Daphnia pulex: one gene and its partner. The protein of the gene in region 1 interacts with the protein of each later gene in a pairwise test. Links are inferred from orthologs where the notes say so. Each region holds a gene or a part of one and is shown in the gene's direction. Other genes may lie near its edges.

Region 1 (4,103 bases):
TTAGTGTCGATAACAGTAAGTAATTTCATTTAAATTCGAATACCTGGCTCCTACATATAGGGGACACAGCAAAGCGTTTATAACACCATGAGTGTGATGAAGTGGAAGCGCATGAACGATGACGTCTTTTTTGGACCATTGCCATACTTCAATCAACATTCGTACCTGAGCATCGATGTTTTTATGACTCAGTAGAACTCCCTTGGGTTTGCCGGTGGTTCCACTAGTATACAGCATCATAGCATCAGAATTCTGATAAAATTCCATTGGCTTTGTGTCACAGAGAATGGATTTTAGTTGGGTGGGTGTAACATTTTGGTTGATGGTTTGTTGCCATGATTCTTCTAGAATTACAGATTTGGTATCCTGACCAACTGTTTCGTGGACAGCATTAAGCAATTGGGAATGACTTTGAGAAGCAATTATTAAGGCAGCATCACAGTCTTTGACATAGTAACCCAACAAAGATGGAGGATGAACCGGACTGAGTGGTACAGCTGCAATAGAAATAATCATTATTAGAGAACTTTATGTTTTGATATATGTTTTGATACCAATGTGCCCTGCCGCCCAACAGGCCCACTGAGATATAACATAGGTAGAGTCATTCGGACAGAGGAAGCCAATTCTTTCTTGATTTTTTTCTGGACCTATAGAACTTTTAATCATATTTGACAATTTAATGGCTTTAAGCAACACATCCAAATAGGTATGAGATCCATGGCTGTCTTTAATAGCAACTCGATTGAGATGTTGAAGAGCAATTCGATGTGCAGGAATGATACCACGATTTTCCATCGTGGATTGAATTCTGCCTGGAGGATCTGTATTACTGATAGAGTATGGTCTACTTCGAAGGGTTGAATTAAGTACACCGGATCTCAATGACTTTAGAAAAACAGAGAGCATCGTCATGTTATTCATCAGTCAAGTAATAAATCGTGAGATATCTTATCATCTATAAAGGTGTAATTCTGCACGTCGAGATAAAATTCGAATCTGATAAGAATATTAATAATCCTATGAAGTAACCTTGGAACTTGGAAGTCTGGATAGAGACAACTGATGTGTTTGTTTACAAAAAAAAAATACTTTATGTCGTCTGCTGTAGCTCCCGGCCTCTTTTCGCAAGTCAAAAAGACCAACAGGCTTGCACAATCGTTTGCAATCTTTTCTATAATCGTTTTAAATGTTATGTATATAAAGGGGAAAAAATCAAAACAATTACAATTGGGGTCCAACCACCCAATATTTTGTAATTAAATTATTTTCTAATTAGATGCTCCTCTATAATACTCGTGAAACGGCAACGTTGTCTAGACTGTCAACAAAAACTTGTTGTTGGAAATTTGTGTCCGGGAGTTACACTGAAAAGTGAAAACTGCGCGAAGAAACTGATTCTTCGGGATATTATAATTTGAAATACATTACGTGTGAAACGTTATTTTTTTGAATTATGAGTCGAAATCCCTCTTCCTCGGCAGTTCCAAATGCAGCTGGTCAGCCGGCTGGTGTAACACCATCAACCAGCACTCCATCTGCATCTGGTCTTGAAGTCCTTGGAATACCCGGAGGAACATTTCTCAGAGAAGCTTTGACTTCGTGTAGTGATCCTCTTCAAGCCATCGAAGAATTTCAAGTTGAAAATGGAATACTTCTACCTTCTTTAAGACCAATGATGCCACTTTTGGATTTACATGGAGTAAAGCGGCTTGATTTCCACATATCTGTCATGGAGGTTGTTTACATGAAAAGATTTAAAACACACTTAGTTTTCAATTATTTTTATGCTTTTAGGCACTTCGTGATAAGCTTTTGGCCCAAATTGCTGATTTAGGTAATGCATCTTTAATTATTTTAAAATCAGTTTTATTTTACATTAACTATCTTCAGGCCAAAAAGAAGGAAAAGAGAAAGACAAGAAATTGAAAGAATTGTTGAACAAAAGCTTTCTTGTAGTTAAAACTAAAGCTCTAAGGCCAGTTGTTATGGCAGTTATGAAACACCTTTCTCATGTTGATGAAAAATACCTCAAAGTTTTGGTAATGTAATACATTTATTATTTGAATTCAGAATTTAATGAAATGATTGATCTCAGGTGAAAGACAAAGAACTTTATGATGATTGTGATACTGTGGTTAAGAGGCAAATGTGGAAAGGTATCCTCTTAGATAACATTTCAAATACAAGTATTATAACTTTTCATTCAAATTTTAGACAACCAATCCCTTTTTGGTGATGAGGTTTCACCTTTACTCAGTCAATATATCAAGGAAAAAGAACAACTTCTCTTTGATCAAAATAATCTGACAAATTTGTTTTTCCTACCATCTCCTAAGGTAAAATGAAATGGTATTAAATGGTCTTTGTGGCGCTGCGACAAAATATATACCTTTTTTATTGGTCAAGGAGAAAAATAAAAATCTTTCTTTCGATTCCCAGGTTCGCCGCCAAGGAGAAGTGGTCCAGAAGCTAGCGCATATGATCGGAAATAACGTTCGGCTGTACGATATGGTTTTGCAGTTCTTACGAACATTATTTTTACGTACTCGTAACGTTCATTATTGTACATTGCGTGCTGAACTGCTTATGGCTCTACATGAGACGGAAGTGCAAGAAATTACAAACGTTGATCCATGTCACAAGTTCACCTGGTGCGTGGATGCTTGCATAAGGGAACGTAATGTCGACACCAAACGTTCTCGAGAGATTCAAGCGTTTCTCGACGGTATAAAAAGTGGCCAGGAACAAGTTCTTGGAGATCTGTCTATGATGCTGTGCGATCCCTATGCCGTCCATTTCTTAGCTACGTCATCGTTGAAGATTTTGCACAACCTTGTTGCATCAGAAAGTTTGCCTCGAGAACACCATATTTTACTTTTATTGTTACGGATGCTTGCGCTTGGTTTAAGCGCATGGCAGATGATCGATTCTCAGGTAGGACGAAGATTCAAAACAACCATTATTCCTTTATTAATTTCAGTAATCTTGTGCAGGAATTTCGGGAACCACGGCTTGATTCTCAAGTTGTCACGAAATTTCTTCCGGCTCTCATGTCGCTAATGGTGGATGATCAAGTCCGATCTCTAAACTCGAAATTACCCAGTGATGAACGTGAATCAGCTTTGACCATTATCGAACATTCAGGTACATGTAACCATTACTGTGAAGTTTCAAGGCACGTTTACTTAATGCTTCTAATAATAGGACCTCCACCCGATGCATTCCAAGCATACATATCTGAAAGTAGTGTACCTTGTGTTCTAGCAATGTATTACACTCTCCAGGTATTATTTATACTATATGTGAATAATGGCATTTATTACTGTCATTCCTCGGATTTAGGTGGCAAGAAGTAGAGACAAAGTGGCTTTAACTCGTGTTTTGGGCACGCTTGCTGTTGGTCACGGCGAACGATCATTCGAAGATCCTTTCCTTCACACTTTGGTAATATCCTATTTTACCTATTAGATCATTAAAGTAAATAACTTTATAATTGGAAAATAGGTTGCCCATCTGATTCCAATGCAGGATGAATTTGTCAATGAAATGTTTTGCACAGTTGTTTTTGATGAATTTTTTTTCACATCAATTGGCAAGGAGAATGTTGTCAGACATTTAACAAAACTTGTGTGGTATGTTCATCATAAGCTACCTGCTGCTAGACTTGATACCTTAATGAAAGCACTTCAACCAAATCCTCAATCCCCTGAAATCATGCATCAGGTAAAAATATTATTATATTGGCATAGAAAAAAAAGAAAATGTCCATAAATGTGCTTTGCCTTTAGGTCTATAAGCAACTGGAGCAAAGAATTGAATCATACCAGCTGAACCCATCATCTATGACTCAAGGAGTCCACAATGATGACTCTGTGTTGATGATGAATGTACCTACTCCAATGTCAATGTAGAATAAAACAGTGTATTGGTCAGGCTTACAAACAAGATTTAATGATGATTTATTGATAATAGAGCTCCAAATTCATCCCATCATGAATCTCATCTACAAGAAGAGAATAAAACTTAGTCAATATGGAGTAGCCATAAAAAAACATCAAATTCAAAAACTACTTACAGTCCTCCAGTTTGATGTGATCCTT
Region 2 (3,307 bases), on another chromosome or scaffold:
CGCGCGCCTACAATTCTACTACACTCGACATCTTCCAAAATAAAAACTTTTTTTTTTTCACAGAATGACCGAACTACACGCCAGTCGACTGATTTTTCAGACGCCAGCAGCAGCCCATTTCTTATTAATATGACAGGGCAGAAATTGTGTTCTTCTGATCAACAACTATGACCTCATCACACACACACACTGGCACTGTGGCACATCATTTTTTGGTCGTCTTTCTCAGTTGAATTGTTTTCCCACCATGACCGAAAATAATAGGGGAAAAAAGAACCTGTACAGGGGTTGGTGGGGAAAAAGCATTTTCCCCTTTTTACTTCTTTTCAAAAGAGGCTGGGGGTCCCCATTGTTGTGTCCAACCCAAACCAGAAGAGGGAGAAAGAACCTTACTATAATACTACTACTACTACACCGCCCACTCGATGGTTCTCCTGGGCAAGTGTCTCTACTATATTTTTACTACTATTTTGCCCTTTTTTGTGTGTCTGTGTCTACTTCCAGGGGGGAAAATGCGAGTCGAAATGGAACAAAAGAATCGTCGTCTCTCCCTAACTCGAAAGGAGAGAACCTTGAAAGTTTCTCGAATAACTCGAGGGTTGAAAAAACTCTCTAGCTAGCCGGCACTTTGGAAAATAAAAGACAGATTGCGCAACTATTGACAGTTTTACTCACCTAGCCTGTAGTGTATCGTGTTGTACTATCATGAGGCCGGCAAACGGACGGGCTCTACTACACACCTGCACAATCCATAAAAAGAATCAAGTAGGAGACAAAGGTGTGAAAAAATGTTTGTAACCTTGACACATCACCACTGTAAATTATACCTAGGCTCGTATCGACGAATGATGAGAACAGCAGCAACTGCAGATGGATCGATTTTTCATTCAAGCTACACACACACACACACACAGTCTCGTTACACCAGTTTCTCGTACTCGAATCTGTCTATTCTCTCCCCCTTGGTATACTCACGTCTGACGGCTACGGCGGCCAAGGATCGTGAATGGCTGGAATTTCCGTTTACGAGGCTCAGACACGTGACCTAAACACTTGTGATTGGATTGGTCCTTTTGAGGGAAAAAAAAATGTTCTGTTACCAGGTCCCTTGCTATTGTTATTTACGTAAGAATTCCACAGGCGACATCTAACGTCGAAATCTACAACTCGTCCTTGGGCGGCGTAAACAACAACGAAATTTAACGTTAAATTTGCAAAACGAACGAACAAAATCAAAGTCAACGCTTAATAAAATGGTTTATCTTCATTTCCCCTCCAATTTGACAGAAGAGGAATTAATGCTGCAAACTAAATATCAAAAACTTAAAAAGAAGGTGGGTTGCATGCAAATAGTATATACCTTTTACTATTTTACTAATGAAGTATACTGGAAATAGAAAAAAGCTTTGCAAGCACTGAAAGCACCCAAACCAGAACCAGAAAAAACACCTGCACTCAAAAGACCTGCAGAAGCAAGAGACGCCAGAGAAGTGGCTAAAAAGCTCTTGAAGTCCGGAGCCATTTCAGCCATTCCAAAACCTAGCGAGAAAACAGAAACTACTGGATTCAAAAGATCAAGAGGCTTAGAAAGAAAACTTTCCTCTTCTGATCGAGCACCAAGTGGATTCCAACCGTTTTCTTCAAGTCAAGGAAGTATGGTTTCTAATGAAGAACATGTCACACATGAAGCTAGAACCAAAAGCAAGGTAACAACAACACTATCCAATCCAAATAACTGTGTTCAAGCATTCTCCTTTCTGCTTAGGTTCCCAATCTCTATGAAAATTTCATTTCTTCAAGAGAATCAGATGCTGAACCAGCTTCAATTAGTCCAACAAACCCCAAAGAAACACCTACCTCTCCTGCCATTTCTCCAGTGAAGCACCAGAAACCTACAGTGGGGCACACAGTTTATGTAATCATTTCTTGGCTGTAGATTTTTGATGAAATGTGTTGATTAATCACATTGTTTGCCATTTTTAGGTGTTTGGCTACAGCATTACAGAAGAAATCCTCAAAAAAGCTTTCCAGTCTTTTGGAAATGTTGTAAACATTTCAATGGAAATTGAGAAAAAGTAATATCTTCTATTAAAGCAAACAGTAGCAAAATATTAAATACCTTTTTGTTCTCAGTTGCGGGTTCGTTACGTTCGACAAAACAACTTCAGCAGACAGAGCCATCAGTGAAGTATGTATAGAGAATTCCCTTAAAAAATCTACTCCTCACTTTTGCCTATTTTACTAAAATAGACAAACAAAATCCTGTGGGTTTTAAATGCTTTAGTAGTTGACCAAATCGTAATGGGAATTTTTATACCAAGTTTCTTGCCCAATATACCTAGTGGGAACTTTTGGCTCGTAGTAAATTTATTTCGAAATTTAAAAAAGGCGTTCCAGGTTGTTAAGCGCACCAGATTCTATCGTCACTAAAATTTCCCCTATGACGAATGTAATAATGATATACACTGCCATTGTTTTTCTTTTGTGACTGAATACTAGATGAATGGTAGCATGGTATCCGGTATTCAACTAAAAGTGTCACTCGCAAGGCGTCAACCTGTCATCGAACCTATAAACGATGCAACATCATCCGCTACGTGGTCCACAATAGGTTAGCCTTATTTTATTGAGCTTTCTAGTTTTGATGAAATGTCATTTATTTTTGTTTTCTCCATTTCAGCGGCTCGCAATTCTCAGAAAGGATCCTATAAAGATAAGCGCGATTTAGTGACATATGAAGAGGAATTGTTTTAAAAAGTAAATCATCACAGTACAGGCGGTTCTATGTAATTGTAATTTTCTCGTGGTGGATGTACAGTGATATTTCATTTTACATAAATTTCCCATCAGAAATACATGGAAAAAAACAAAAACAAGTTTTATTTTTAGACGGGCACCAAACGAGAGAATATTTAGCTTCCCGGATCAAATCTCTTTTTTTTAATTCCCCCCAACATTTATATACGATAAATTGCCTCTTTCCATCCCCTTCGCCCCCATTCCAGAAAAGTAATTTTACCTTGAAACGATCATAACGACGTAATAATAACATTAGACTCTTCGGGGCATTGCAAACGGAATTCTGTTTGTTGTTGAGTAATCACATAGACAGCGGAATGCGGTGTGCGAAGGTGAACGATTTTCCCGACGTTCAAAGTGCATAAAGTATTGATTTTGAAAGAATATTATGGAAAGAGGGGACAAGAATCTAGCTCCATTTGTCAAGCGATACGTATGGAAGGGGAAAAATATATCTCAAAATCGACAGACGCAGACCTATTAGCTTATAACAGATAAATGCTTTGCG

Evidence for each region.
Region 2: the proteins of negative elongation factor B-like (region 1) and negative elongation factor E-like interact in binary tests that used the Homo sapiens proteins (3 or more experiments, as listed by UniProt). The link is inferred for Daphnia pulex from reciprocal best matches to the Homo sapiens genes NELFB and NELFE.

What each region holds. Positions count from the first base shown.
Region 1 is NC_060017.1:4,644,680-4,648,782, forward strand, and holds negative elongation factor B-like, read left to right. Parts: upstream 1-1,303; 5' UTR 1,304-1,456; coding exon 1,457-1,738; intron 1,739-1,797; coding exon 1,798-1,837; intron 1,838-1,893; coding exon 1,894-2,042; intron 2,043-2,098; coding exon 2,099-2,159; intron 2,160-2,217; coding exon 2,218-2,339; intron 2,340-2,442; coding exon 2,443-2,937; intron 2,938-2,996; coding exon 2,997-3,147; intron 3,148-3,207; coding exon 3,208-3,287; intron 3,288-3,345; coding exon 3,346-3,447; intron 3,448-3,507; coding exon 3,508-3,726; intron 3,727-3,791; coding exon 3,792-3,914; 3' UTR 3,915-3,945; downstream 3,946-4,103. Other genes in the region: malonate--CoA ligase ACSF3, mitochondrial-like, read right to left, coding at 44-497, 555-924. UniProt on the Homo sapiens protein: Essential component of the NELF complex, a complex that negatively regulates the elongation of transcription by RNA polymerase II.
Region 2 is NC_060021.1:9,953,242-9,956,548, reverse strand, and holds negative elongation factor E-like, read left to right. Parts: upstream 1-1,162; 5' UTR 1,163-1,253; coding exon 1,254-1,334; intron 1,335-1,397; coding exon 1,398-1,706; intron 1,707-1,765; coding exon 1,766-1,915; intron 1,916-1,983; coding exon 1,984-2,075; intron 2,076-2,133; coding exon 2,134-2,188; intron 2,189-2,499; coding exon 2,500-2,611; intron 2,612-2,680; coding exon 2,681-2,754; 3' UTR 2,755-2,807; downstream 2,808-3,307. UniProt on the Homo sapiens protein: Essential component of the NELF complex, a complex that negatively regulates the elongation of transcription by RNA polymerase II.